Anolis sagrei: one gene and its partners. The protein of the gene in region 1 purifies or fractionates together with the protein of each later gene. This does not show direct contact. Links are inferred from orthologs where the notes say so. Each region holds a gene or a part of one and is shown in the gene's direction. Other genes may lie near its edges. The genes, in order: PXN, ITGB1, CTNNB1 and ARHGEF7.

Evidence for each region.
Region 2: the proteins of PXN (region 1) and ITGB1 purify together in Homo sapiens (affinity purification with western blotting; 3 studies listed by BioGRID and IntAct, with this or other methods). This does not show direct contact. The link is inferred for Anolis sagrei from reciprocal best matches to the Homo sapiens genes PXN and ITGB1.
Region 3: the proteins of PXN (region 1) and CTNNB1 purify together in Homo sapiens (affinity purification with western blotting; 3 studies listed by BioGRID and IntAct, with this or other methods). This does not show direct contact. The link is inferred for Anolis sagrei from reciprocal best matches to the Homo sapiens genes PXN and CTNNB1.
Region 4: the proteins of PXN (region 1) and ARHGEF7 purify together in Homo sapiens (affinity purification with mass spectrometry; 3 studies listed by BioGRID and IntAct, with this or other methods). This does not show direct contact. The link is inferred for Anolis sagrei from reciprocal best matches to the Homo sapiens genes PXN and ARHGEF7.

What each region holds. Positions count from the first base shown.
Region 1 is NC_090034.1:45,993,970-46,001,399, reverse strand, and holds the start of PXN (paxillin), read left to right. Parts: upstream 1-4,420; 5' UTR 4,421-4,516; coding exon 4,517-4,529; intron 4,530-7,430. UniProt on the Homo sapiens protein: Cytoskeletal protein involved in actin-membrane attachment at sites of cell adhesion to the extracellular matrix (focal adhesion). Recruits other proteins such as TRIM15 to focal adhesion.
Region 2 is NC_090026.1:112,675,168-112,683,096, reverse strand, and holds the start of ITGB1 (integrin beta-1), read left to right. Parts: upstream 1-4,922; 5' UTR 4,923-5,158; coding exon 5,159-5,167; intron 5,168-7,929.
Region 3 is NC_090026.1:76,601,298-76,608,829, reverse strand, and holds the start of CTNNB1 (catenin beta-1), read left to right. Parts: upstream 1-4,519; 5' UTR 4,520-4,633; intron 4,634-7,532. UniProt on the Homo sapiens protein: Key downstream component of the canonical Wnt signaling pathway.
Region 4 is NC_090023.1:109,923,645-109,931,578, reverse strand, and holds the start of ARHGEF7 (rho guanine nucleotide exchange factor 7), read left to right. Parts: upstream 1-4,926; 5' UTR 4,927-5,294; coding exon 5,295-5,459; intron 5,460-7,934. UniProt on the Homo sapiens protein: Acts as a RAC1 guanine nucleotide exchange factor (GEF) and can induce membrane ruffling. Functions in cell migration, attachment and cell spreading. Promotes targeting of RAC1 to focal adhesions. May function as a positive regulator of apoptosis.

The sequences.
Region 1 (7,430 bases):
TGGAGCGCTCAAGGGCCAGGGCTTCCCAGTTCTTAGTGTCTATGCCAGAGTTTTTAAGGTTGGCTTTGAGCCCATCTTTACATCTATTTTCCTGTCCTTCAACATTCCATTTTCCATTCTTGAGTTCGGAGTAGAGCAACTGCTTTGGGAGACAGTTGTCAGGCAGATGGAGATGATGGCAGAGGACCATCGCTTCAATGCTGGTGGTCTTTGCTTCTTCCAGCACACTGACATTTGTCTGCCTGTCCTTCCCAAGAGATTTGCAGGACTTTCTGGAAGCAGCACTGATGGAATTGTTCCTGGAGCTGCATGTGACATCTGTAGACAGTCCACGTCTCGCAGACATATAGTAGGGTTGGGAGGACAATAGCTTTATAAACAAGCACCTTGGTATCCCTACAGATGTCCCGGTCCTCAAACACTCTCTGCTTCATTGGGAAAAATGCTGCACTCGTGGAACTCAGGCGGTGTTGTAGTTCGGTGTCAATGTTGACTTTGGTGGAGAGGTGGCTGCCAAGGTAGCAGAAATGGTCAACATTATCTAATGTTACACCATTAAGCTGTATCTCTGGCATTGGAGAGGGGTTGGCTGGTGACTGCTGGAACAGCACTTTGGTTTTCTCGATGTTCAATGACAGGCCGATTTTTTGGAGGATGGTCCAGAGAGCGCTGTGATTCACTGTGTCAAATGCCTTTGCAAGGTCAATGAATGCCATGTACAGAGGCAGATTTTTCTTGGAGCTGTTGTGCAGTTAAGACCATGTCCACGGTTCCTCTGGAGTGGTGGAAGCCGTTCTAGGATTCTGGGAGGGTGTCTTCTGAGAGGGGTAGAAGGCAGTTTGCAAGGATTCTTGCTAGGATTTTCCCAGTGAAGGTTAGAAGGGAGATACCTCGATAGTTTCCACAGTCCATTCTTTCCTCTTTTTTGAAGAGGGTGATGATGGTGGCATCCTTGAAATCTGCTGGGATTTTCTTGGTCACCCACACTTTTTCTATGAGCTGGTGGAGTTGTTGTGTCAGCTCAGGTCCTCCCTCTTTAAAGATTTCAGCAGGGATCCCATCAGGTCCTCTGGCTTTGTTATTTTTTGTTGGTTGATGGCATTGCTGACTTCTTCCAGATTAGGCAGTGCTGCAAGCTCATCCCTGGTTTGTTGTTGTGGGATTTGTGAGAGAACCTTTTCGGCCACATTGGAGCTGCGATTCAGGAGAATTTGGTAGTGTTCTTTCCAACGTAGTGTAATTGATTTTTGGTCCTTCAGGAGTTTGGTTCCATCTGATGAGTGTAGAGGCTGTGTGCCATGGTTTCTTGGTCCATAGATGACATTTGTGGCTTTGAAAAATCCCTGAGCATCATGGGTATCTGCCAGGTGTTGGATTTCTTCAGCCTTCTTTGTCCACCAGATGTTCTTGAGTTCTCTTGTCCTTCTTTGGACCTCAGCTTTTGCACTGGTGTAGATCTTTTTCTTAGCAGCACAGTTGACGTCTCTCTGCCATGTTTGGAAGGCTTTCCTTTTCTTGTCAATTAGCTGTTGGATCTCGTCATTTTCATCAAACCAGTCTTGATGCATCTTGGTTTGGTATCCAATACTTTCTTCACAGGCTGTGATGATGGAGGTCTTCAGTTTATTTCAATGTTCCTCAACATTTTCGGGGTGTTCTGTGGGTAGATGGTCCTTGAGTGCTGTTTGGAGATGGGTTCAATTTGAGGGCTCCTGAAGGGCTTGGGTGTTCATTTTGCACCTTGTCTTTCTTCCTTGGAGTCTGCGCTTGGGTTAGGATTAGCCTGTGGTCTGTCCAGCAGTCGTCAGCACCTGTCATGGCTCTTGTGAGGAGCACGTCATGGCGGTCTCTGGCACGTGTGATTCCTTAGTCTAAGAGGTGCCAATGCTTTGACCGGGGGTGCTTCCATGATGTCTTGAACTTGTTTTTTTCTGGCGGAAGAGCGTGTTGATGCCAAGGTTGTGTTCTGCACATTTGGTGAGAAGCAGGATGCCATTCAAGTTGCTGTTTCAAACCCCGTCTTTTCCTATGGTCCCTGGCCACAGGTCGAAGTCTCGCCCGACTTGCATTAAAGTCCCCCAGGAAGATGATTTTGTCCTCCTTAGGTATCTCCGATAGGACGGTGTCCAGCTGACAGTAATTTTTTTCCTTGATGTCTTCATCAGCATCTAGTGTTGGTGCATAGGCACTTATGATGGTTGCCTGTTAGTTTTTGGCAAGTTCAATTCGGAGGGTTGAGAGTCGTTCATTGATGCCAGTGGGTGCTTCGGTCAGATGTTTCACCAGATCATTTCTGATAGCAAAGCCAACTCCGTTCATTCTTTGGTCTTCTTCGGGCAGTCCCTTCCAAAAGAAGGTGTAGCCTCCTTTTTCTTCCTTCAGCTGTCCCTCTCCTGCTCTCCGGGTCTCCTGAAGGGCTGCTGTGTCGATGTTAAAGCATCCCAACTCTCTTGCAATGATGGCAGTTCTGTGTTCGGGGTGTTCACTGTCAGTGTTGTCCATCAGTGTCCGTACATTCCATGTACCAAAGTTCATTTTCCTTTTTTGGCCGCAGGGTGGTGACCCCACTGGATGCGGCAGTCCAGTCAGGGATAAGAGAGGCAGACTATGTTTAGGGCACCTTTTCTAGCCCCTTCCTCATGTGGGGTGAGCAGAGTGGATCCTCAAAAGGGCTACTCAGTCATGGATACAGCTGCCGAACTACTCAACTGCCTCGGACCTTGAGGTAGAATGACTGAGTCCATATCCATCCATGTGCCAGTCTGTGACTAGGGGCTTCCATATTTCACAGTCCTGCCCCCGTCACCACTCGCTGATCGCCATGGGACTTTTGTAGGTTTGTTTTTATTTTCTTTGGAAGACGCCTGTGCATGAGTTTTTTTAATGTGCGGAGGTCAGTGCACACTGATCAACACACAGTCTTCACAGAGTGAGGTTCCACTGGTGATGTAGTTTAACACAATGACCGTGGCTTCTCAATCTGTTGCAGCCTTCTTCCGTCTTCACAGCCATTGTAACATGTACCATATTATCCTCCGCCTGCTCTGCCATTGAGGTCTTTGGGTCTTCAGACTGTGCTTGGTCTGGAACCTCCCCCGTGGCCACTCCTGGGATTGCACGATTCCAGTTGTTGTGCCTGCAGTTTCATTGGAACACGCAAGCCCCCTCACCACGACAAGGTGACAGTCCATCGAGGGGGACGAACATAAATATATATACAGTATATATAAGAATGATTGACAACTGGAAAATAGAGGGAGAAAACGTGGAGGCCGTGACAGACTTTGTATTTCTAGGTGCAAAGATTACTGCAGATGCAGACTGTGGCCAGGAAATCAGAAGACTTCTTGGGAGAAGAGCAATCTCCAGTCTCGATAAAATAGTAAAGAGTAGAGACATCACACTGGCAACAAAGATCCGCCTAGTCAAAGCCATGGTATTCCCTGTAGTAACCTACGGATGTGAGAGCTGGACCTTAGGAAAGGCTGAGCGAAGGAAGATAGATGCTTTTGAGCTGTGGTGTTGGAGGAAAGTTCTGAGAGTGCCTTGGACTGCGAGAAGATCCAACCAGTCCATCCTCCAGGAAATAAAGCCCGACTGCTCACTGGAGGGAAGGATACTAGAGACAAAGTTGAAGTCCTTTGGCCACATCATGAGGAGACAGCAAAGCTTAGAGAAGACAATTGTGCTGGGGAAAGTGGAAGGCAAAAGGAAGAGGGGCTGACCAAGGGCAAGATGGATGGATGGCATCCTTGAAGTGACTGGAGGACCTTGAAGGAGCTGGGGATGGTGACGGCCGACAGGGAGCTCTGGCGTGGGCTGGTCCATGAGGTCACGAAGAGTCGGAGACGACTGAACGAATGAACAACAACAATATATAGACAAACATAAATATATATATACAGTAAATGACATAGATAAAAACACAAAAATATATTTTTAAAAACTTGCATCAGGCATAGTTTGGTGAGGCATGAGCATTCTTGGGCAGAGAAAGCCACAGAAATAATCAAACTTCCAGGATCCCATAGCAATGAGCCATGCCAGTTAAAGCATTGCCAAATTGCACTTATTCTGCTTCCTAAAAGAAGCATCAAAGAATGTCATGGGTTCTGTCTCCTTAGGCGTAGGCACTAGGCAGATATTCTCTGAACACTTCTGGTCTCCTGCATTTGTCTATAGTAGTACACCATTTCCCAGATTTGCACAGAAGCGATTGAACACAGCTTCTGCCTAGGCCTTCTCTGCCCCGCTCCCAATTCTTTCCTTGCGCCTCCCAGGCGCTGCCACTAGGGGAGTGGGCGGCGCTGTCGGGCCGCCTTAGTTTTCGAAGGTGCCTTCTGCGCGTGCGTCGATGCTCGCGCCCCGAGGGGCGGTCCTGGCTGGGCCAGGGGAAGGGAGGGGGAGAGGGCAGGGGGCGTCGCGCGCAGGCGCGGGGCGGCCAAGCAGAGGCCAAAGTTGCGGCGCCTCCAGTCAAGCGGCGGTCGGAGCGGGGAGCGGCGGCGGAGGAGGAAACATGGACGACCTGGGTGAGCAAAGAATCCGCAAGGCCAACCCAACTGGGGGGGGGGGGGGGTACGCCTTTCCCCACCAGACTCTCCACAAAACTACCACAATGCTCGTCTTTCTCCTCAGAACTCCTCACTCAACTCCCAGGATGCCCATCTTTCCCTTCAGGACGATCACAATTCCCATCTTTTCCCTCAGAATGATCACAGTGCTCCACAAACTCCCCAGAATTCCCATCTTTCCCCTCAGAATTATCACAGTTTCCCTCACAATTCCCATCTTTCCTTTCAGAACTATCACAATTCCCGTATTTCTTTCAGAACTATCACAATTTCCATATTTTCCCTCAGAACTACTACAATTCCCATATTTCCCCTCAGAACTATCACAATGTCCTCCAAATTTCCCCTCAGAACTATCACAGTGTCCCCCACAATGCCCAAATTTCCTCTCAGAACTATCACAGTGTCCCTTACAATTCCCATATTTCCCCTCAGAACTATCACCATTTCCCTCACAACCCCCAAATTTCCCCTCAGAACTATCACAATGTCCCCCAAATTTCCCCTCAGAACTATCACAGTGTCCCTCACAATCGCCAAATTTCCCCACAGAACTATCAATGTCCCGTCACGAATCCCATGTTTCCCCTCAGAACTATCCATTCCCATCTTTCCAATTAGAACTATCACAATGCTCCTTACATTTCTCTCTCTCAGCTCTATGCCTTTGCTCAGTTCCCCTCCAAGCACTCCCTCCTTCTTTTATGTTTTGTTTTGTTATTTCCTTCTCCCTTTACTGGTGGGTTTTTTTGTTTGCTTTTGTTTTTTGGAGAGTGGGAGAGCAGTCTGGTTGGTGCCTTACATTAGAATCCTCCCCAGAATCCCTGTCCCAAGTTTTCAGTTCCTTTCTTCCCCTTTCGCCTCGGTTTCCCCAACCTTACTTTCCACACAATTCTCTTGCATTAGGAAGTCTTCCCCTCATCTAAACTCACACCTCCTTCCTTTGCCTTGAGCTTCTCCCAAATGCTTGGGACCAGTTGTCTTTTGGGATTTTGCCTGTTTTCCCTTTCAATTTGAGAAGTGTTTGCATAGGCATAGGAGATGGGATCCAAGTCCAAGCTCCACATTCCTTTCTGTTTCATAGACACCTTAGAAACACAGCCAGGAGGTCTGTTTTTCATATTGTGGGGCACAAAACAAAGTTTGTTACAGATGGAAACTCACGTCCAAACTCCACATTTGTTGCTGTTTCATAGATCTTTGAAACACAGCTGGAAGGTCAGTTTACACACCATTTAAAAAATACATTTCTGCGCGAAACAAAAGTTAACTACCTTGAACCGTCAGAAAGCAAAGTGTTTGCTATTGCAACATTTTGGGATTTTGGAGCATTTTGGGGATTTGGGAAAAGGGCTGCTTAACCTGTATTTTTATGTTCCTCACCTCTGTTCCCAGTCCTTTTGCTCATAACCTCATATTTTCTCCTTAGGTCTCTTTTTTTTACAAAACCAAAATTGGGAGAAAAGTATTCTGACATGTGTCCTCCTCAACATGCTTTGGGGAAGGAAGAGAAAATGACCGATCGAGTAAAATCAAATATTTTTCTTGATGTACAAAAATTTCAGGCTGATCCTCTAGGAAGCAACGATAACCTAAAAATAACAGCGTAGTTCCCATTCTGCCAACCAAAATGTGATGCCAAGTAGTGAGCAAACTTTTGAATCCCCCCAGGAGTTCAGCATTCTGGTTTTGCTTAAAAACCAACCTGCAGAATTGCTTGGAAGAAGTTCACAGTTCGCATACTATTCTGTGTAATATTTTTATTTAGCCCTAATAAAGATGTTTGTCTTGCAGTTGCTTTCAGGTTGCTGCATTCTGAAGTGGAAGATTCTTTTGGTTGAACAAAAATGAGTTGAACAAGCCTCTTCTGTTGGCTTTAATATTGAATAACTGCTGTTGAACGTGGAATTGGATTCTGTGTAAACATGGTTAAGATTGGGGATGACAACATGGTTCAATTCAAGCTATGTATATGGCGTTTTGCAAACCTTGGATATAAGTTCTTGTTAGCAAAGAGTCTTTTCAAATGAAAAAGTCATTTTATTTTGTAAATTTTCTGAATTTTTACAAAAACAAACAGGTTGATCGCTCCTTACTTTTTGATATATCTCATAATATGGCTTTAGGGATATTCTTTCTGTACAAAAACCTGCAATGAATAAGTTAAAAGTTTTCCATCTCTTACTTTCCTTTAGGCTAAATTCAATTTTAGTCCCAACTCCAACGACTCACTGCAACGAATATTACTTGGTTCATCACTTTTTCTGCAAGTACCATTTCAATAGATGTAGTGAAGCTGTATGTAAAACTTAATCTAGCCCCTAGCTTACCCTCAGGCTCTGAAAGCTTTTTCACTTTGCCACTTCCCCAGTCTAGACTCAGAAATTGCCTGGACATTTGCCAGTGTATATGTATTGTGGTCTCAGTTTACTCTTCCTTCCATGTTGGCATGTTAGACTCCTATTGTGATTGTTTCCCTTTGCCAGGTGTACCTCATACCCCAGGCCTGCACACAATACCAAAAAGTACGTTCCATAGAACTTAATGGAGCCTACTTGTGAGTAAACACAAGAGTGCATTTAGTATGGCCACCCCCCTTCCCGTCTGCAAAACTTAGCCTTGGTTGGGATGGTTGTAAAAATGGTTCACAATCCAAAAAGTAAGTTGAGTATCATGTTATACTTTCAGCCTTTTTATGTGCTGTGTTTAAATGCTTTTGCCATCAGTGTCTTGCAAATGCAGCCATTTTCATATATATTTTCCACAATTCTAATTGTATTGCAGCAGCCAGTGGGAGTTACCAAAAATGTTAAATGTCTGAATAGTCCTGTTTAGTTTCTGGCAGCCTCTTTTCCCTTG
Region 2 (7,929 bases), on another chromosome or scaffold:
ACTTAGCAATAATACAGCGTTTCCCAACTGGGGGGTCGTGGGGGGGGGGGTCAGAGGGGTCTCCAAAGACCATCAGAAAACACAGTATTTTCTGTTGGTCATGGAGGTTCTGTGTAGGAAGTTTGGCCCAATTCTATTATTGGTGGGGTTCAGAATGCTTTTTGATTGTAGATGAACTATAAATCCCAGCAACTACAATTCGAAAATGTCTAGGTCTATTTTTCCCAAATGCCATCAGTGTTCACGTTTGGGCATATTGAGTATCCATGCCAAGTTTAGTTCAGATCTATCATTGTTTGAGTCCACAGTGCTCTCTGGATGTAGGTGAACTATAACTCCAAAACTCAAGAATAATGCCCACCAAACTCTTCCAGTATTTTCTGTTGGTCATGGAAGTTCTGTGTGCCAAGTTTGTTCAATTCCATCATTGGTGGAGTTCAGAATGCTCTTTGATTGTAGGTTAACTATAAATCCCAGCAACTACAACTCCCAAATGACAAAATCAATCTTCCCCCACCCCAATCTTCAAATTTAGGCATATCAAGTATCTGTGCCAAATTTGGTCCAGTGAATGAAAATACATCCTGCCTATCGGATATTTACAATACAATTCATAACAGCAGCAAAAATACAGCTATGCAGTAGCAACAAAAATACTTTTATGGTTGGGGATCACCATAACATGAGTAACTGCATTCAGTGGTCATGGCATTAGGAAAGTTGAGAAACGCTGCAATAATATATCACTTCACAAACTAGGCATCACTACAGAAATACAATAAGAATATAATTCAATCATAGTTTTGCTATCAAACCTGGAGAAACATGAGTAATATGCCATCAACACGCCTATTCAGATATCCTTGATACTAATGAAATAACATGTTAATTAAAAATGTTTTCAGTTGTTTTTGTAAACCCAAAATATTAGGTTAATGTTGAGCATGAATATGATTTCCTAGTTTTTTTCAAACCCTAAAATATTTGACCTACTCTAGTGGAAATAGTAATTAGAAACAGCCAGCAGGAATTACTTCTAAGAAAACGCAGCACATATTACTGATTGTTTATATGAAAGTGGAAAGTTGGAGATATCTATAAACCTCAGTCAATCTTTACGATGGCTGCATTTCAATCCAAACTGTCACTTGAGATGCAAAATTTGGTCAGTTGTGTTATGATAGCAGAAATATTCTGTTTTTATCCAGGCATGCTAAGCAAGCATCCTTGGTATTTTACTGTGTCCCAATGCCAAACCTTGTGTTGTGTTTTCCAGAAAAGAATGAAAGCGGTTGGCTGCAGAAATATCCAGTTTCTTGATCATCAACAGACATTAGCAATAGTAGACATGGTGATTAAGGTTACTGTTTCTATGCTTAATATACCCTTTATGGCACACAGTAAACTACTTAAGTGTCTGGAATAGATAGTGAAGTTCTTCTTTGATGACTGTTCAACAGAAAAACAGGGAAACAGGGAAGAGAATTCGCCTTTTCAAGGCTCTTCAGTGATATTCCAAATGAAAAGAGCAGGAAGGGCTGCTTTTTTCTCTACCAATCCATGTAGAAGTGTCTGTTGGGGGCAGGAATACAAAAATAACAAGCTAGTATATTTGTCATACCAAGTAAATGATAAATAATGTACTTTGGAATAACTCTTTAGGCTACGTGAACATCGACAACCACCTTCAAGACAACACATATAGAGAGAACAGGGAAGAAATAAAAGCTCCAAAACTGGTCATTAATAATAATAATAATAAAGACAGAGAACAGGACTGATTGCTGATGGGTCCAGACTAGAAGCTGGATACAAAACAGATTTCAGTTTCCTCCCAAAGACAAAACCATGCAACGAAGAAACAGACACTTCTTGCAACAAAGAAACAAAGGCTCCCACCAGTCAAACTCTAAATGCAAGCAGTTATTAAAATCCCACACCAACAAAAAGCAAGTTAGTAGAGCTCTGCTTTCCTTCTATATGTCTGATTAAGGGTGCATCTCTACAGTGCAGCATGAATGCAACTTGACATCACTTTAAATGTTGTGACTCAATGCTGTGGAATCCTAGGAGTTGTAGTTTAGTGAAGCACCTGAACTTTTTGGCAAAGAAAGCCAAAGACTTGGGGTGCATCTCTACACTGTAGAAATATTATTATTATTATTATTATTATTATTATCTGCTTTTATCTCTTGATTGAGACCCAATGCAGTTCTACACCACTTGAACAGCCATGACTTAATGCTATGGAATCCTGAGAATTGTCACTATGCAATTATTATTGAAACACAACAAGATAAGTCCACAACAAACAAGAACACTCTGCTGGTTGTTGTATTGGATCACAAGTCAGACACTTCCCAAGTGTCTAGGGCTGTGTGATGTATTGGCGAATAATGCATGCAGATCCCAGTAAGGTGGCCTTTTGCAGCTGACAGATGGTGATTTTGTCAGCACCGATTGTGTTTAAGTGCAGGCCAAGGTCTTTAGGCACTGCACCCAGTTTGCCGATCACCACTGGGACCACCTTGACTGGCTTGTGCCAGAGGCTTTGCAGTTGTATTATTAATAATAATATTATGTTTATTATTATTATTATGTTTATTATTAGTATGTTTGTTTATACTCTGCTTTTTCTCTCCATAAAAAGCCTTTTGCCTCCCCTGACAAAGAATGTTGTCTCACCAAATTACAACTCTCACGATGCCATAGAATGGAGCCATGGTAGTTCAAGTGGTGTCAAACTGCAATAATTCTACAGTGTAGAGGCACCCTGGATTTACTGAGGCATAGGAAAAGAGAGCAGTGATTCCTGATAGCCAAGAAGGCAAATGGAAAGGGTGCAGCAACACCAATGTGCTTTGTGAGGCCTAATTTCCCCTGAAGTGTGGATGTGCCCTGTAGAATGAACACTGTTTGACAACATCTTGAATTGCCAAAGCTCAAGGCTACGGAATTATAGACCATGTAGTTTGGTGAGGCACCATCGCTTTTGGGCAGAGAAGGCTGGAGTTTGTAAAATTTCAGCTCCCAGAATTTCTTAGCATTGAGCAAGGAAGGTTTGAAGTGGTGTCACATTGCATTCATTCTATAAATGCACTAGGAAACACTACCGGCATTAATTCTGGGTTGTTATGAGCACAGAGTTTGCATGGGATCCTAAACTTCCAGAAGAAAGCTTCCCAAATTTTGTGAGGCTTGGGACAAGAGGACTGAGACTCAAAATGGAAATGGAGGTGAAGGAAACAGGTGAAGCAACACTTTAGGCCCCTTCTAGTACATCTTGATATATATTAGGCATGGGTAAACTTTCTAAATTAGGGTCTGCATGGCGAGCCAGAGCGGGATTGGGGGGCAGGAAGGAGGGGGTTCTCTCTAAGTCCCCTTGCTGCCCTTTCCTCTTCTCTTTCAGAGGCAGAAAGTGATGGAAATACAGGAAATGTTTGGATCCCAAAAGGGTTGGCCTTGATCAGGATGAGAGGGTGAACAGGAGAGAAAAAGTCTATCCATTAGACACTGTATAGAATCCTGATATAGAATCCTAAAGCTGGAAGAGATCCCCCAAGGACCATACAGTCCAACCCCCTGCCATGCAAAAAGGCACAATCAAAGCATTCTTGAGAGATAGCCTCTGCGGAAAAGCCCCCAGAGAAGGAGACTCCACCACACTTGTAGGCAGACTATGCCACTCTGCAAGAGCTCTCACACTCAGGAAGTTCTTCCTCATCTTTTCAGTAGAATCTCTTTCCCTACCATTTGAATTCATTGCTCCCTTGGTGCCCTGGTCTTTAGAGCAGCAGAAAGTGAGTCTCCCCCCCCCCCTTCCTCCTCAATGAGGCACCCTTTGAAATCTTGAAACATGGCTTCATGTTTCCTCTCTAACATCTCTTCTCCCAGCTAAACATCCCCAAAGAAGGAAGGAAAAAGAGAGGAAGGAAAGATGGATGGATGGAAGGAAAGATGGGTGGAAGGGGAGGGAAGGAAGGTGGAAAGAGAGAAGGAAGGAAGGAAAGAAGGAAGGAGAGATGGGGAAGGAGGGAGGAAAGAGGGAAGGAAGGCTGAAAGGGTGGAAGGGACAGAAGGAGGGAGGGAGAAAGAGGGAGGAAAAGGGAAGGGAAGGAGTCAAGAAAGAGAGAAGGAAGGAAAGATGTATGGAAAGAAGGGAGGTGGAAGGGAAGGAAGGGTGGGAGGAAAGAGAGAAGGAAGGAAGGAGAGAGGGCGAAGGAGGGCGGGAGGGAAGGAAGGATGAAAGGGTGGAAAGGAAAGAAAGAGGGAGGAAACGGGAAGGGAAGGAGGCAGGAAAGAGAGAAGGAAGGAAGGAAAGAGGAAAGAAGGAAGGTGGAAGGGAAGGGAGGAAGGGTAAGAGGAAAGAAGGAAGGGAAGACAAAAGGGAGGGAAGGAAAGAAGGAAGGAGAGAGGGCGAAGGAGGGAGGGAAGGAAGCATGAAAGGGTGGAAGGGAAAGAAGGAGGTAGGGAGAGGGGGGGGGAGGAGGCAGGATCATGAGGGGGGAGGGCTGTGAAAAGAGCCCAAAGGTCTGCCGCATCCGGCCCCCATGCCTGGGTTTTCCCATGCTTCCCTTAGTGCCTTGTGAGGCCTAACTCTCCCTAAAGAGTGGACAAAGGAGAAGTGATGCAGTTTGGCACCACTTTTCAATGGCAGGGGATTGTGGAAGTTGTTGTTGTGGAAGTTCTCTGCCCAAAGAGGCGGGTGCCTCCCCAAGCTACGAATCCCAGGCTCCCTCAGCCTTGAGCCAAAGCGGTATGGGGCTGAAGTCGTGGAGTTGGCGGCCAAAGCCGGCTTCCTGGAGGCGCAGCAGAGCTTGCCCTGGAGGCGCCTCCCTTCCAAGACGGCGGCGAGAGGGGAAGCCCCGCTCCTCCTCCTCCTCCTCCTCCTCGACGAGGCAGCGCTCCGCCCCGAGCCTGACGGCAGCAGCCAGGAATGCGTTTCCGGAGGCGGCCAGAGAAGCGAGCTGGGCCTGGCCCTCCTCTCCCCGGCCCTGAAGAGGCGGCCTGGCTCCGGAGGACAGAGGAGGAAGGCAGGGAGGAAGGCGCTTCTGCTGGCCCTTCCCAGCCTTGAGGCGCAGAGTTGGGCCTCCCTTGGAGAGGAAGGAGAAGAGAGGAGAAGGAGGAGAGGCTTCAGGGAAGAGCCACCGCCGCCATGGCCCAAGTAAGAGGACTCTGCTTCCTTGAGGTGCAACTACATGTGGCCTGGACAAACTTGGGCCCTCCAGGTGTTTTGGACTTCAACTCCCACCATTCCTAACAGTCTACTACAGCTCCCAGAAGCCCCCAGCCTGCGAATGCAGGCTGGGGGCTTCTGGGAGCTGTAGTAGGCTGTTAGGAATGGTGGGAGTTGAAGTCCAAAACACCTGGAGGGCCCAAGTTTGCCCAAGCCTGCTCTCTATGGATTAACGCAACTTCTAATGGCCTTCTTGTCTTTGTAGCTTCTGGGAGGAAAGGAGGGAGGCCAAGGCGTGGCAGAGGCATTGCTGGACTCGTGTTGGGAGGCCATCCCAGCCCTTCCCTTCCCTTCCCTCGCCTTCCCTCCTTCCCACCTGCTTGAAACAACCGGGACATTTTATCCCACCTCCCTTTGAGGCAACAGTGTTGCGGCAAAGTTCGGATTTGTGGGCGAACTGATTCATTGTGGCTCTACTTTCCTTCCATAGGAACCCAGGCTGCAAAGGCTTCTGCCACCTCTAAATCACAGAGTTGGGAGAGACCACAAGGGCCATCCAGTCCAAGCCCATTCTGACACGCAGGAAGGCACAATCAAAGCACTCCCGACAGATAGCCATCCAGTTTCAGTCTCCAGAGAAGGAGACGCCACCAAACCCCGAGGTTGGGTATTCTATTCAACAGTCAGGGAGTTTTTCCTATTGTTTAAATGGGATTTCTTTTCCTGCAATTTGAATCCATTGCTCCCTGGCTAAGGCCCCTTCTATATAGCCCTATACCCCAGAATATCATGGCAGAAAATCCCACAATATCTGCTTTGAACTGGGTTATCAGAGTCCACACTCAGAAAATGTGGGATTTCCTGCCTTGATATTTTGGGATATAGGGTTGTGTGGAAGGGCCCCCAGAACATTAAGGCAGAAAATCCCACAGTATCTGCTTTGAACTGGGTAATCAGAGTCCACACTCAGAAAATGTGACATTTCCTGCCTTGATATTCTGGGATACCTATATCCCTATAGCCCTAGCTGTGTGGAAGGGCCCCAAGAACATTAAGGCAGAAAATCCCACAATATCTGCTTTCAACTGGGTTATCTGCATCCACACTCAGATAATGTGGGATTTCCTCTCTTGATATTCTGAGTTATAGGACTGTGTGGAAGGCCCCTAGGGCCCCTTCCACTTAGCTGTATAAAATCCCACATTATCTGCTTTGAATTAAGGGCCCTTCCACACAGCCTTATATCCCAGATATCATTGCAAAAAATCCCATATTATCTGAGTGTGGACTCAGATAGCCCAGTTCAAAGCAGATATCGTGGGATTTTCCGCCTTGATATTATGGAATATAGGGCTGTGTGGAAAGACCCTAGGTTATATGGCGGTGTGGACTTAGGACCCTATCAGACAGGCCCTATATCCCAGGATCTGATCCCCAGTGGCGTAGTGGGTTAAACCAGTGGTTCTCAAGCTGTGGGTCCCCAGGTGTTTTGGCCTACAACTCCCAGAAATCCCAGCCAGTTTACCAGCTGTTAGGATTTCTGGGAGTTGAAGACCAAAGTATCTGAGGGCCCTTCCACACAGCCCTATATCCCAGAATATCAAGGCAGAAAATCCCACATTATCTGAGTGTGGACTCAAATAACCCAGTAGAAAGCAGATATTTTGGGATTTTCTGCCTTGATATTCTAGGATATAGGGCTGTGTGGAAGGACCCTGGGGACTCATAGGTTGAAACCCATTGGGGTAAACCCTTGTGCCTACAGAACTGCTGACCATAAAAGTCAGCAGTTTGAATCTGGAAAGCAGGGTGAGCTCCTGTCTGTTAGCTCCAGCTTCTCATGCAGGCCCATGAGAGAAGCCTCCCACAGGAACGCAAAACATCTGGGCATCCTTTGGGCAAGATCCTTGCAAACGGTCAATTGTCTCACCCCAGAAGCAACTTGCAGTTTCTCAAGTTGCACATGACACAGAAAAAAAATTCCAGGTTTTCTGTTTATCCCAGATTATTTTGCAGTGGAGACTCCTATAATCCAGTTTAATGCGGAAAACCTGGCATCAGATCCTGGGATATAGAGCCTGAGTGGGGGCCCTTCCACACAGCCATATAATCCAGAATATAAAGGCAGAAAATCCCACAATATCTGCTTTGAACTGCCATATATCCCAGTTCAAAGCAGATAATGTGGAATTTTATTCAGCCGTGTGGAAGAGGCCTGGAAGGACTGTCAGATAATCCAGTTGAAAGCAAATATTGTGAATTATCTGCCTTGACATTCTGGGCTATATGGCTCTGTGGAAGCGCCCCTAGTATCCAGGGCAGTGGTCTTCATTGGAACATCCTTTCAAATATGTAAATATAGCTCTCATGTCCCCTCTCCATCTCCTTTTCTCCAAGCTAAACATATCCATCTCCCTCCCTCAATGCTCCTCTTATTAGTGCTTGGCTTCCAACCCTTTGTCTGTTTTGGTATCAGTGATGTTAGCATAATGTGCCTTTGAAAGGGAAAAGAGGAGGGAAAGGGCAGGATGTAATTGGAGAAGTTTTGGGGTGCGTCTGTACTGTAAAATGAATGCAGTTTGACACCACTTGAACTGCCATGGCTCAAGGCAATGGAATAGTGGAAGGTGTTTGACAACGTCTTTAGCTTTCTCTGCCAAAGAGGGCTGGTGCCTCACTAAACTACAAGGCCCATGATTCCTTGTCCTTGAGCCAGGGCAGTTAAAGTGCTGTCAAGCTGCATTACTTCT
Region 3 (7,532 bases), on another chromosome or scaffold:
TGTCAATATCTCTCTTGAATTGTGGTGCCCAGAATTGGACACAATATTCCAGATGTGGTCTAACCAAAGCAGAATAGAGGGGTAGCATGACTTCCTTAGATCTAGACACTATGCTCCTATTGATGCAGGCCAAAATCCCATTGGCTTTTTTTGCCGCCACATCACATTGTTGGCTCATGTTTAACTTGTTGTCCACGAGGACTCCAAGATCTTTTCACACGTACTGCTCTCGAGCCAGGCGTCCCCCATTCTGTATCTTCGCATTTCATTTTTTCTGCCAAAGTGGAGTATCTTGCATTTTTGCTGCCTTGGGACAGAGAATAAAATGGGTTAGAATTAGATGATACATTCAGCGCCCACAAAAGACTTAAGGGACCCGCCCACGCCAGACAACTACAAATCTAAGTTGCACAACACAAACCGTTTTCTGTGTAGCCTGATTTAGACGTGAGTCCCGATGAGATTGCTATAGAGAGAGAGAGGGTCTGGCTCCTGCGTCAGGATGTGGATTGCATCTGGGCTGCAGAAGGAAACTCTGACTCCCCCCCCCCCTCCTCTTTTGGGTTGTATCCCCTCCAAGTAAGCTTCCTACTCCTCCCCTCCAGCAGTTTGCATAGGATTAATGGCATTAGGGATCAATCAAGCGAGAGCTATCTTAAGGCATCAGAGAGCTCTTTCTCTCTCTGAATCCCCCACCAAAGACCAGGATGAAAGGGCGGCGCGCGGGTCCGAGCGTCCCTCACGTGGCCTCCCTGCCCTTAGCCCCGCCCACTTACAAGGGGGCGGGGCTAAGGCTGTAAACAAAGCGCCAAATTGACTCTGGGATTGAGCCAATGCATTTTTTAATCGTGTCAAGAGCGAACCAAAACAGTTGTATTGCATTAAAAACAAACAAACCACAAAGTTTGCAGATTTGGTATTCTATTAAATGTCCTTTGACCAGTATCTGGCCACTTGGAGTGCCTCTGGTGTTGCTGCAAGAAGGTCCTCCATTGTGCATGTGGCAGGGCTCAGGTTGCATTGTAGTAAGTGGTCTGTGGTTTGCTCTTCTCCACACTCGCATGTCGTGGATTCCACTTTGTAGCCCCATTTCTTAAGGTTGGCTCTGCATTTCGTGGTGCCAGAGCACCTTCCAAATCACCCAGTTTTCTGTGTGCCCAGGAGGGAGTCTCTCATCCGGTATCAGCCATTGATTGAGGTTCTGGGTTTTAGCCTGCCACTTTTGGACTCTCGCTTGCTGAGATGTCCCAGCGAGTGTCTCTGTAGATCTCAGAAAACTATTTCTTGATTTAAAGCATTGACGTGCTAGCTGATACCCAAACGGGGTGGGCTGGAGATGTCACTGCCTTGGTCCTTTCACTATTGGTTACTACACCCCAGCAGATGTCAGGTGGTGCAATACTGACTAAAGTGTAATTTCTCCAGTGGTTTAGGGCACAGACACCCCGTGATAATGCGATATGCGGTTTGAGCCTGCCACTTTTGGACTCTCTCTTGCTGAGATGTTCCATTAATCTGACCTGATCACCATGCTCAATATATCCCATATGCATGGGGATATTGGGATAATGATACAAAAGGTTTGCTAGGGTAGATCCTCAGCCCCCTCCTAGAGCTTTGGAGAGCTTCTGTTCAACCATCTCAAAGCTCCCTGCTTGAGCAGTAATGGCATGATCATCAGCATAGATGAAACTCTGTCCCTTCTAGCAATGGCTGGTCATTTGTGTAAATGTTGAACATTGATAGAGCAAACACGCTCCCCTGAGACAGGCAGTTCTTTGGCCCTGGAACTCAACAAAAAAGCTCCTCTATTGTAGCAGAATACTATAGTACAAGGATCAGTCTCAGCAATTACCCTACTAGGGGCCACTCAATTCTAGGGTCAATTAAAGGACTATAAAAAAAGGTCTAGGCCAGAAGAAAAGGTGCCCTCAGATGACCTGGAACTGGGGAATGAATGGAGTACAAGGCCAACTCCTAACTGTTGGACCAAGGGCTTGAAACTAGTTCTTATCGAAGGCCTGATGAAACCACCAGGTCTTCAAGATGTTACGGAAGGAGGTGAGGGATGGGGCCAGCCTTATCTCCTTGGGGAGTGCGTTGGGGGGCCACTACCAAGAAGGCCCTCTCTCTTGTCAGCACCAGCCAGGCTTGAGACAGTGGTGGGAGCGAGAGGAGGGCCTTCCTGGTGGATCTTAGTGTCTGTGCCAGTTCATAGAGGGAGATGTCGGTTCATAGAGGGAGATAGGTGGGGCCCGAATTGTTTAGGGCTTTAGATGAATTTGGCTCAGCAACTTATCGGCCAAGATGCATTAATCCTACAGTTGATCAGGCAAGGGCAAACTTGGGCCCTTAAGCGGCTGAGGGGGGAAAGGAAGGGGCCTGAGGCTGTTAGGAATGGTGGGAGCTGAAATCCAAAACACTTGGAGGGCCCAAGTTTACCCATGTCTGTTGTAGATATACTTCCCTTCATCTTTTCCTTCCAGGCCTCAAAATGGCAGGCTCTCTCATGTGGAAACACTTCCCATCCACTTCTCTTGTTGACTTTCCCGTTCCAGCCTGGAGTGAAGTTTGGAAACATGTGGGGGACTTTTGTTAGGAAGTTTCCCACACCTTTTTCTGTTTATTTTGACTTTTGAAGCCCTTCTGCTCCTTTCAAGGCCTTCTATGAAGAGAACGCACTAATGTAAACACAGCAACTTGCCTTGTTGAAAGGATAGGGAAGAAGCGCCTTCTTTGGAGGCTTCGAAACAGAGGCTGGGTGATGGCCAGTTGTGCTTTCCCAATTCAAACTGGATGATCCTTGAGAGAGGCATGAGGATGGAAGTCTTCTGGAGTTTGAAAGGAGTGGCAAACAATATTCATATCTAGCAACATTTTTATTTTATTTTGTAGCAAAAGCATTGCATGAATTAGTATAAAACTGATAAAAATAGAAGGCTCACAGGCGGCTAAATATCTTTTGATTCAAAACGGGCAACAGCAATGGCATTGTCTATAGCCTCCAACAATTCCTCCTCTGTACATGAGACAGGGCACAGTGGACAAACATACAGATGTGGAGTTGTCTGTTCCACTCCACAGTCACACAAGCAACACTAAAAAGGCTTGGAAAAGTCAGGAGGTAAGACAAACTTTTGAATTCCTTCGTTTTTGTTTCCTCTTCGCGGATCCTGAGGGAGACATAACATCCCAAGTATTTGCTGGGTTTCCCTGAAACGACATGATTGGGGACTACAAGTGCTGGTTTTGACCTATAAAGCTCTATACCAGTGGTTCTCAACCTGGGGTCCCCAGATGTTTTTGGCCTACAACTCCCAGAAATCCCAGTTAGTTTACCAGCTGTTAGGATTTCTGGGAGTTGTAGGCCAAAAACATCTGGGGACCCCAGGTTGAGAACCACTGCTCTATACGGTTCTGGCCCAGCTTATTTGTCCGAACGCATCCACCCCTACATCCCACCGCATAGGAGGCCCTGCTCTCGCTCCTGTCAACAGCACAGAGGCGTCTGGCGAGGACGAGAGACAGGGCCTTCTCAGCTGTGGCTTCCTGCCTATGGAACACACTCCCAAATGAGGTAAGATCTGCTCCCTCCCTCCTGGCTTTTAGAAAAAAATTAAAATCATGGTATTGGGACCAGGCCTTTGGGCAGTAGAAGGAAATGTATGCAGCATTTCAGAAAGACAATGACTGGAATGGCGATTTGACTGACGAAACTGTTTTATTGTTTTAACGATTGTTTTATTACTTGTGGATGCACTGTTTTTAACTTGATTTATGTCTAATTGTTTGTTGTTCATTCGTTCAGTCGTTTCTGACTCTTCGTGACCTCATGGACCAGCCCACGCCAGAGCTCCCTGTCGGCCGTCACCACCCCCAGCTCCTTCAATTGTAGTGTATAATTTTAATTGTTTGTAGTGGCATTGAATTTTGCCATTACTTATGTGTAAACCGCTTTGAGTCCCCCTCGGGGTGAGAAAAGCGGTATACAAATACTGTAAATAAATAATAATAAAAGAAATACAAGTCTTCTGGTATAAAAACCATACTAGGATGCAAAGGGGTGCCTGTAGCTTTAAAAAAGGAGGAGGGGGGAAAGAGAGAGAGAGAAGCCAGGCTCTGCAGCCCGCGCTCGCGCCTCTCTCCCCTCAGGTTGCGGGAAGCCGCCTCATTCCTCGCGTAGAAAAAGGTGTCTCTCTCTCTCTCAGTTCCCAAAAGTAGCCCCCTCCGCGCCTCATTACACTCGGAGGCGAATCCCTGCACCCTCCCGCGCGCTCCCACAATCCCTTTCCTTCTCGATACACACTGAAGCTCTTCTTTTCCCCTCACTTTATCTCCCTCCGCGTTTAGTTGCTTCCTAGAGAGAGAGAGAGAGAGAGGGCGCGCGCGCCTCTGTGTGTGTATGTGTGCGCGAGCACGAAGCAGGCCGCTGATTGGGCGGAGCGGGGACTATTTTCTCTACCTTGTGGAATGCTGCGCGCGCGCGCTCGGGGCTCGTCGGCGGCAGGATACACAGAGAAGTCTACACCCTCACTATAAGAGGCTCCTGGTGAGCGGCGCCATTTTAAGCCTCTCTCTCTCTTGGTTCGGTGGGAGCGACGGCGACGGGGGGAAAAGGACCGTTCCGGGCGAGGTGAGAAGCGGGGGAAAGAAAGGGGGTTTCCGTCGCCTGACGCGAGGGATAAAGGGTTCGCGGTTTGCTGCAGCTTCTTTCCTTTCGGGGGCTTCCTCTCTCCCCCTTCGCGCTTCCCCTCATTCCTCAGAGAAACTTGGGCTTGGTCGCACTACTTTTCCTCCTTGAGGTTGGCGGAGGGAGCAATAATAAGGCAGCGGTGTGTTCCCTACAGGAAGTGAGTGGATTTTGGTGTGTTTTGGAGGGAGGGGGAGATAAGTGTGAGGCGGGGAGAAATGGCAAAGTGAGTGGGGCAGAACTTGGGGAGGGAGAGAAGGAGGGAGGGAGCGGTTGAGGCAGGAAAGGGGGAGAGTTGGGTCCGAGAGGGGGAGGTCCCGGCGTGTTTGCTCCCATTTTGGGGGGTGGGTGAGTGAGTGAGTGGGTGGGACGGAGCTACCCCCTCCTCTCGCCCCTTGTGTGCCCGCGATGCAAGTTCTCGCAGTGGGATCGCCTTGCACAAGGGCCGCTCCGTGCCTTGTTTGTTGTCCTGCGGTGGGGAGGCTTTCTCGGCCTGCGTGTTGTACTTTCTACGGTGTTGAGGCGAAGGGAGGTTTCCAGGCAGCGATCCGCCCCAACTCTCTCCTTCCTCACGCGGATCCTGGAGGTGGGGATCCCTGCAAAAGATCTCCTCAAACCGCAATGCCTCGCGAGCGGGCGCCTTGCACGACATGGGATTTGGGAGCCCTTCCGTCCCGACTTCCTGGCGGGGTGTCGCCTCCAAACCTCCAGCGAGGGGCGGGGGGAGGGGATGGGAAATCGTCTCGGGTTTGTTTGCATTGTGTGCAATGAAGTTCCTCTTCTTTTGGCTTTGGTTCAGGTTGCATACTTTGCGGGAGGGGCGCTCTTGGTTGCTGGAGCCCTGAAAGTGTACTATGCAGGCTTGCACGGCTTCTGTGCAGGATCCGACTAAGCACACCATGTTTTGTAGCTCAGTTTAAAAGTGTAGATGTAGGGCAGGTTTCGATGGCTTCTGTGCAGGATCCGATTAAGCACACTATGTTTTGTAGCTCAGTTTAAAAGTGTAGATGGTAGATGTACGGCAGGCTTCGATGGCTTCCGTACAGGATCCGACTAAACACACCGTGTTTTGTAGCTCACTTAAAAAGTGTAGATGTAGGGCAGGCTTCGATGGCTTCCGTACAGGATACGACTAAGCACACAATGTTTTGTAGCTCAATGTATTGTCGAAGGCTTTCATGGCTGGAATCACTAGGTTCTTGTGGGTTTTTTGGGGCTATATGGCCATGTTCTAGAGGCATTTTCTCCTGACGTATGCATGTGAAACGTCAGGAGAAAATGCCTCTAGAACATGGCCATATAGCCCCAAAAAAACCCACAAGAACCTTTTGTAGCTCAGTTTGAAAGTGTAGATAGTAGATGTAGGGCAGGCTTCCGTACAGGATCCGACTAAGATCACGGTGTTTTGTAGCTCAGTTTGAAAGTGTAGATCAGGCATGGGCAAACTTTGTCCCTCCAGGTGTTTTGGACTTAAATTCCCACAATTTCTAACAGCCAGAGGGGGAGAGTGTGGGATGCCTTCCACGCAGCTGAATACAATCCCACATTTATTTTGTTTTGAACTGGAATATGTGGCATTGTAGACTCGGACAATCTAGTTCAAAGCAGATATTCTAGGATGATATTCTGGGTTATATTGCTGTGTGGAAGGGCACTTGGGAAGCCATTCCCATTCCAGGGAAATGTACTATTTCATTTGTTGTCTCCAGCAGGGGAAAGTATCCCAAGGCTTGTTTAGACATCTCACCTGGAAGATATTTTGGGACTGTTGGTCCTGCCATTTAATTTGAAATTGCATTAGCTATGAAAGTTGATTTATCCCCTCCCCCATATTTAGAGGGAGGGGTGTATCTGCATATTACTTTGAGAGCCCTTCCACACTGCCATTCATCCCAGGATCTGATTCCACATTATCTGCTTGAAACATGGAATATATGAGCCCCTACTGCCAGATAACCTGGGATAATCTTGGGGCCCTTCCGTACAGCCATGTAACCCAGAATACCTTCTTTGAACTAGAATATGTGGCAGTGTGGACTCAGATAACCCAGTTCAAAGCAAATATTGTGGGTTATTCTTTTATATTCTGGGTTATATGGCTGTGTGGAAGGCCCCTTGGATCAGATTCTGGGATAAAGGGCTTGTGTGGAAGGGTCCTGAGAGTACTGCTATGACTTATGAAAAGCTGTTACCTAAATACATTAAATCCACAGAATTGTGCTTTCTGTCTTTCAGGTGTATAAAGAAGCTGTAATAATTTAGTACTGCCTTTAAAAAGAGCTCAAGACATGTGTGTCAATGGGAATGTAAAAACAAATCTAGATGAAGTTGTGATTTATCAATAAGTGTTTTCTAATGGTATTTCCTGATATCTTGGAGTAACAGTACAAGCCTAGGTATTTCAATAAAACTTCAAGCATAATTTTAAATATTCCACTATGCCCAATCAAAGTTGGAAATGTTTGCATTCCTGACCTGAATGCCTAACCTAACTTGAGGGCGTTGCCTTGTTCCTGCAGTTTAAGTAGCAATTTTGGAAGCTGCTAAAATAGTGCAGTTCTCAGCAGAAAACTATGTAACACGTTTGCTAAAGTATTTTATGCCTGTCTTTCACTGTACCTAGAAATGCTCCCCTCATAATACAGCATGTTTATAAGATAAATTTATCTAACTTGATAGTTGACTCCTTCCTGTATAGATATATAGATCTCCTTCATAAATCCACAGATTATATCAACAACAAAAATGAATAGTTGTTTAATCCATAATCTTCAGTGAAATAATCATCACTGAGTACTTCAAATTAGCAGTACTACCACGGAAAAATAACATGACACATTAT
Region 4 (7,934 bases), on another chromosome or scaffold:
GTGGAAAGCTGGTAAGTCCCGCAAGGCACGGACTTCAGGTGGCAGAGTATTCCAGAGTGATGGGGCCACTGCTGTGAAGGCTCTGCGTCTCGTTGCTGTTAGACACAAGGTCTTGACACTGGGGACTTCCAATAGATCTTGGTCCTCAGAACGGAGGGATCTCTGGGGTTGGTAGGGGGTGTATTAGGTGGTCTGTGATTTGCTCTTCTCTACACTCACATGTCATGGACTCCACTTTGTTTGGTCATAGAACAGTGTTTCTCAACCTTACTAATGCCGTGACCCATTAATACAGTTCCTCATGTTGTGGTGACCCCCAACCATAAAATTATTTTCCTTGCTACTTCATAACTGTAATTTTGCTACTGTTATGAATCGCAATGTAAATATCTGACATGCAGGATGTATTTCCACTCTTCGAACCAAATTTGGCACAAATACTCAATATGTTCAAATTTGAATGCTGGTGGGGTTGGGTGTGTGTGTGTGTTTTGACATTTGGGAGTTGTAGTTGGGGGGATTTATAGTTCACTTGCAATCGAAGAGCATTCTGAATCCCACCAATGAGAGAATTGGGCCAAACTTCCCACACAGAACTCCCATGACCAACAGAAAATACTGTGTATTCTGATGGTCTTTGGTGACCCCTCTGACACTCCCTCGTGACCCCTCCAGGGGTCCCGACCCCCAGGTTGAGAAACACTGTCATAGAAAATTGTCGGTGACCATGAGCAAGTCCTACTCTTTCAGCTCCAGAGGGAGCCGATGGCAAAATACTTTCAATAAATCTTGTCAAGAGAAGCCCATGATAGGCTCACCTTAGGGTTGACCAGAATAAAAAAAAAGGTGTCTGCAATCCATTCTGTGCAGTTCCTTGGGAATGAAGTACATTGGACATCTGGGGTAACAATTCTCAGTAGACACTATGATTATAATAGTCTTCATATTTAAGGATTACACCAGTAATGGATGGGGAAAGTAAACCTTAAGATCACCCTATATCATCAATGACCTGAAGGCATACAACAATCACATCAACAAAATGTGTGCATCAAGGGATGAAGACTCAGCACTCTTCTGTCCTGTTGATCCTTTTGTAAACTTGATAGTTTTTGCCCATTTACTTGTAACTTAGACATGTGTAACCACACTGTTTATCTATACCAATGGTTCCCAACCTTTCTTTGACGAGGGACCACTTGACCAGGGACCACTCTCCAACATTAGTACTAAAAGGGTTACAAATAAGTTTTTGGTCAACTTTAGATTCGTTTTGGTTATCTGAGGTGGTGATTCAGGAAATTGCATTGGATAGACCACATCAGCTCTAGTTTGTGATCCAGAACGTATGACATCCAGTAGACGCCATCTGCTCACCCACAGAAAACCATATTTAATCAGCCTTGGCACTAGAAGAGGGTTTTGCGATACCAGTCACTCTTGTTGCAACGGTATAGTAATGGTGAGACTGTGGACCATATTTTAGTTCTTATGGACCACTGGTAGTCCATGGACCACAGATTGGGAATCACTGATCTACATGGTTCCTATTTGAATTATCTCAGTTATTTGATTTACCTGTTGCATCTCTATAATTTTACAAATGTTACAGAACATTCGTCAGGTCCTTCTGCTCTACAGCTTCAACTGCCCCACAATCCACAAACAGTCTTAATATTTAAGGATGCAATAGAGGAAAATAAATTGCCCCCCATGAATATCATGAAGTTGGCAAAATTAACAATAGCTTGCAGTGACAAGTCCTCCTATCTTAATCCTATTTTAGTGTTAAGTTTTTGAGGTTTTAAATTGTGTAATGTATTGTTAGCCATTTTGGGTTTCATTTTAGAGTGAGAAAGCAGGATATAAATCAGGCATGAGCAGCCTATTGGCTGTTGGGAATGGTGGGAGTTGAAGCCCAAAACAACTGAAGGGCCCAAGTTGGCCCATGCCTGATATAAATACATATACATATAATAATATGTTTGTGAAAGTTTGCTTTGATGTTTACATCAGGCCAAGATGCCCATACGTTTAATCCATTTGGAACTGTTTAATGAACAATTTGTATTTCTAATGCTTTTGGTAGTCTATTTTCAAATCTTTTTAGACTAGGGGGGAGTCTATTTGTCATTGCATCAGTGATTCCATGTATTTTAAGATCGGTAATTATTGCTCTTTTTAGTGTTTTTTTTTTTTTTTTAAGTGGGGGGAGAAGATATACCTTTAAAAATCTATTCCTAGAGACAGGAAACCAGTTCATTTGTCTGTGAGGTTTCTCTGCCGCCAGGAAAAGGAAGAAGCCCAAGCCCCCCCCCCCCCCCCCCGTTTCCTTTCCTACCTCTAGCTGCTGCTGCTGCTATTTCCATGGGATGAGCTCATTCACTCGCGCCTTTGCGCAAAGCAATTCGTCGCCAGGGGGCGCCCGAGGCCGGATCCCAGCCTGCTGAATACAGACCCGAAATCTAATTCGTGACCGATAGATTCCCCCGCTCCTTCAGGTGGCCCGGGAGGGATCCGCATGGTCGGTCGACGGGATGGGGTGGGGAGGAGGCTCCGCTGAAATAACACCCCCCCCCCCGCCGCTCCCCTTTCCCTTAGTGCTCTTAAAATGAATTGGAGAGATCGCATGTCAAGCGCTTGACAGCTTGGGCAACGGGCTGCCCATTGAATTCGGATTCTGGTGCTGCAAAGTGACAGCTGGGTGGATCTGTTTGGTTCACGTCGTGGGAGGCGCACCAAGGCCGCCGCCGCCGCCGCCGCTACACCCCCCTCCTCCCTCTAACATGGTGTTTCAGCCACCTGGCGGGATGCGACTATTGGTGTGTGCGGTGCGCCCCCCTCCCTCCCTCCCTCCCAATGTATATAGGAGGAGGGAGCGCATGTGCATTTATCTACCCATGTGCATAGATCTAGCCATCTATTTCTCTATCTAGATACATGGATCTATCTATCAGTCTATTGATCGAGATCTGTCTATTTCTCTATCTGCCCAACTCTATCCATCTACTCTATCTGCCTATTTACCTATCAATACACACCTACGTATCTATCTCTTATCTATCTGTCTATCTGTCTTTTTCTATAGACCTACCTATCTACCTAGATCTATCTGTCTATACAGACCTACTTATCTACCTAGATCTATCTATCCATCTGTTTTTACAGACCTACCTACCACATCTATCTATATCTATCTATCTATCTATCTATCTATCTATCTATCCAGACTGACCTATCTACCTCTTATCTATCTGTCTGTCTATTTTTACAGACCTACCTATATACCTCTTATCTATCTATATCTATTTTTACAGACCTATCTATCTATCTACCTACCTACCTATCTGTTTTTATTTATTTATGACATTTATATGCCACCCTTCTCACTTTGAAGGGGACTCAGAGCAGCTTACAAGATATATATACATACAATATATTATATTATTAGCATAGCACAATATCAGTATTATATATTACATATTGTACTACACCATCTTATTGTAATAATATTACAATACAATGGTACAGTACAATATAGCAATTTTACATGTAATATAAAATATATAATTATAATAACATATTATTCATAGTAGTATTATTATATTGTATTACATTATAATATTATAAATATTATATGTATATGTACATTATATTATATTAAATTATTTAGCATAGCGCAGGAGATGAGGTGGAACTGTCTTCCTGGCCCTCTCTCTTCACTCTGGTCCCAGACCTACCTATCTATCTCTTATCTATCTATCTATCTATCTATCTATCTCTCTATTTATATAGACCTACCTATCTACCTAGATCTATCTCTCAATTGATCCTCTATATATACAGGCCTACCTATCTAACTAGATCTATCTATCTATCTATACAGACCTACCTACCTACCTAGATCTGTCTGTCTGTTTATTCTTACAGACCTTCCTATCTACCTAGATCTAGCTAGCTAGCTATCTGTTTTTACAGACCTGCCTATCTACCTAGCAATGGTTCTCAACCTGTGGGTCCCCAGATGTTTTGACCTCCAACTCCCAGAAATCCTATAAGCTGGTAAACTGGCTTGGATTTCAGGGAGTTGTAGGCCAAAACACCTGGGGACCCACAGATTGAGAACCATTGACCTAGATCTATCTATCTGTCCATCTGTCAATTATACAGGCCTACCTATCTACCTAGATCTATCTATCTATCTATCTATCTATCTATCTATTTACACAGATCCATCTATCTATCTATCTATCTATCTATCTATCGAGGTCTGTCTGCCTGTCTATCTATTTATCTGTCTATTTACACAGACCTACCTATCTACCTAGATCTGTCTATTTATACAGACCTACCTATCTCCCTAGATCGATCGATCGATCTGTCTGTCTATTTGTATAGACCTACCTCTCTACCTAGGTCTGTCTGCCTGCCTGCCTATCTACCTAGATCTGTCTATAGAGCTACCTACCTACTACCTACTTACCTACATCTATCCTCTCCCCCCCCCCCCGCCCCGCCCTCCTCGGGATGGAAAGCGAAGCAAAGGGATCCCGTGGACGCCGGTTTTGAGGGCGGGGGGGGGGGCAGGTTTCGCAGCGCAGAGAGGGAGACGCGGGGCAGGTCTCTCTGCGGGTGCCCATAAGGGTGACCCACACCCATCCCTCCATCCTCAGCGCCTTGGCCAAGGCAAGGGTGGCGGCTTTTATGCGGGGGCTCCTGGAGGAGAGGAGGGGGGCTGAGCCTCCTTCTCCTCCTCCTCCTCTCCTCTCCCCCTCCCCTCCCCATCCCCTCCCTCCTCAATGATGTCATGGAGAGGCAGCAGGAGGGAGGGAGGGAGGAGGGGAAGAGGAGGAGGAGGAGGAGGGAGGAGGATAGAGGCGGCGGCGGCGGTGGCGGCCCTGCAGGTCCGTGTGTGCCTGTAATGAGGAGGCGCCTGTCCCTGGGCCCAGAGGCTCCGGAGGAGGGAGGAACCGGGCCGGCCCCCCGCGGCTCCATGGCCAGGAGGAGGCAGCCAGGCCCGGAGCGGGGCGCCTCCTCCATGTGAAGCCCGGGAGGAAGGTGGGCTGGCTGCCGAGCGAGCGAGGGAGGGAGGCAGGCAAGGCAGGCAGAGGGGTCTTCCCCAAGACATCAACCGCCCCCCCCCTCCGATTATTGAGAAATTAGACGCCCCCAGCCGTGCTATTTGTGCAGCCCTGCTGCCCCCCCCCCCTGGATTGGATTGGGATAAAGGGTTCCGGGGCCTGGCTCCCCTCCCCTCGCCGCCTTTCCTCTGCTTGGCCTCCTCCGCCGCAGCCATGAATTCCGCGGAGCAGACCGTTACATGGCTGATCACCCTGGGGGTGCTGGAGTCGCCCAAGAAGAGCATCTCGGACCCGGAGGGCTTCCTGCAGGCCTCGCTCAAGGACGGCGTGGTGCTCTGCAGGCTCCTCGACCGCCTCCTCCCCGGCACCATCGACAAGGTGAGTCCGGATCGGACGCGGACCCCCCGCTTTCCAACCCTGCGCGGAAGGGGGGGAAGGGGGTTGAGACTGAGACTGAGACTGAGAGGGGGAACCTGGGTCTAGGATGAGGCTGGTGGGGTCTCCCTCTCCCTTTCTCCCCTTGCTCCTTTCCCCTAGTATCCACTATCCCCTGGGTATAGGATGAGGTTGGGGGTCTCTCTCTCTCTCTCTCCTCCTTTCCTTTGCTTCCCCCAGTATCCCACCCCCCACCCTCATCTCCCGCATGGCACAGTTTCGGATCTGGGCAGGATCAAGCGACACCCCCCTTTTCCTCCCCCTCCCGATCCGCTTTCCGCAAAGCCCTCCAGACTGGGGAAGACAAGAGAGGCTGGGGGAAATGCCCAGCACTTTCCTTTGTCCCGCATTAGCCTTGCAGAGGCAGGAAACGGGGGTCTTTTTAAGGGGAGCCCCCTCCCCACCCTATTTCCTCACCCCCTCGCATTGACATCCTTCCCTTCTCGCTGGGAAGGCGCCATTGTCAAGGCATGGGAGGGGGCTTCTCTCTTGGGAGGGAGACAGAGTTTGGGGCTGAGCAGCTCCTGCCTGCCTTGGGAGGTGGACCCCTCCCAAAAGGAGCTTTCCTTTGGTTCTCAATCATGACAAAACACATGTGGTTGGGCCCAGATCGCCCACAAAACCGTGCACTGCCCTAGGAGCGATGCTCAGCCCCACCTGATAGATCTACAGCAGATGGTGGCTCTTTTCCCCCCATCCTGTTTGAATGAAAACATGCTCGTTTTAGGGCATCCCTTGTTCTTTAATGAGAAATCACATCAAGGCCAAGAGGCAGGAAGCTTTTACAGCAGGGATGAAGGGCCTCCAATGGGATCCCTTCGCGGTCTATGAACAAGGCGCATGGTTTTGATGCTAGGAGTCTTTTTCAGATCCAAAGGCCAATTTTCTGGCCTCTTTGATAGTCATAGAATCCTAGAGTTGGAAGAGACCTTGTGGGCCATCCAGTCCAACCCCCTGTCAAGAAGCAGGGAAATAGCATTCAAAGCACCTCAGAGAGATGGCCATCCAGCCTCCAAAGAAGGCCTCCAAAGAAGGAGCCTCCACCACACTCAGGGCTGGCTATTGACAGGATGGACAAGCTCTCGGGCCCTCGTTTTGAATGGGATGTCAAAGCCTTCACAAGATTTATGTCAGAAGTCTCTATGATGTGGATATAATGATGTGCAATATTAGATGGGTAGACTAGAAGGAGCCACTACAGTCCCTGTTGCTTAAATAAGTCCTTTTTTAAATGAGGTGTGTCTCTCTAGCACTTCGCGTTGCAACATGCTGACCTAATTTGCAAAGGCACAGTTTGTGTGTGTTATTCTCCAAGATTTTAGTTTTGAGATTTCATTACTTGATGCTTTCTAAATCTGTTCAAATTGGAAAAAATATTGGTTTGTGTGGGGTTTTTTTTCTTGTCTCAAAATGTAAAATTCACAATATTTTTGTAAGATTCATAATATTCTTGGAAAATCCATAATATTCATGTAAAAACCATAATATTCTTGAATGTTTGTTCTTTTAAATATTATGTTGCCAAAGGCTTTCATGGCCGGAATTACTGGGTTGCATTCTCTCCTGACATTTTGCCCACATATATGGCAGGCACTCTCAGAGGTTGTGAGGTCTGTTGGAAACTAGGCAAGTGTGGTTTATATATCTGGAATGTCCAGTTTCCAACAGAGCTCACAACCTCTGAGGATGCCTGCCATAGATGTGGGCAAAACGTCAGGAGAGAATGCTTCTGGGACATAGCCATACAGCCCGGAAAACTCACAACAAGCCTTTAAAATATTGTTTCAATTCAAGTGATTACAGATGTGTGTTTTATTCTTTGTCTAAGAACCAGATATTCTGATTAGCACATTGCATTTCAATTTCCCTGGTTACAGTTCTGGAAAAATTGGTGCTTGTTCATTGATTCCCCCCTCTATAAACTATGGTGAACTTTGACCTACATATTGTTTTGCTTTTATTCTCTTTCATTGGTGGGAATGGGAAGCCCAGGCTAGTTTTTTTTTTTAAAGACGTTCCATGGTAATGTGAACTTGACATAAGAGAGGAACTGTTGTCTTTTGGAAAGGATATCCTAACCTGAAGTTTTGGCATTATTTCATAGATCTTTGTATCTTTTGAGTATCATTTGCATGACAGTAGCCTTTAGGGGGCAGAGTGGCTATTGGCAAGAGTGGTTTGTTTTTTATAATTGCTCTCAAATTGACTTTGAATTACAGGACACTATCCACTTCATCACATTCATTAAATACTACTGAGCCATCCACTTAAAAATGGCAACCTACTGTGTTCATCATATGACACAGTCTTCAAGTGTAGGGTAGAAATATCTTGTGGGTGAAAAAAATTCACAAGGTTATCTTTGAGATGCTTTCTAAGCTTGTTAGCAAGTAACTTTTTTTGCAGATTATCTGGTTA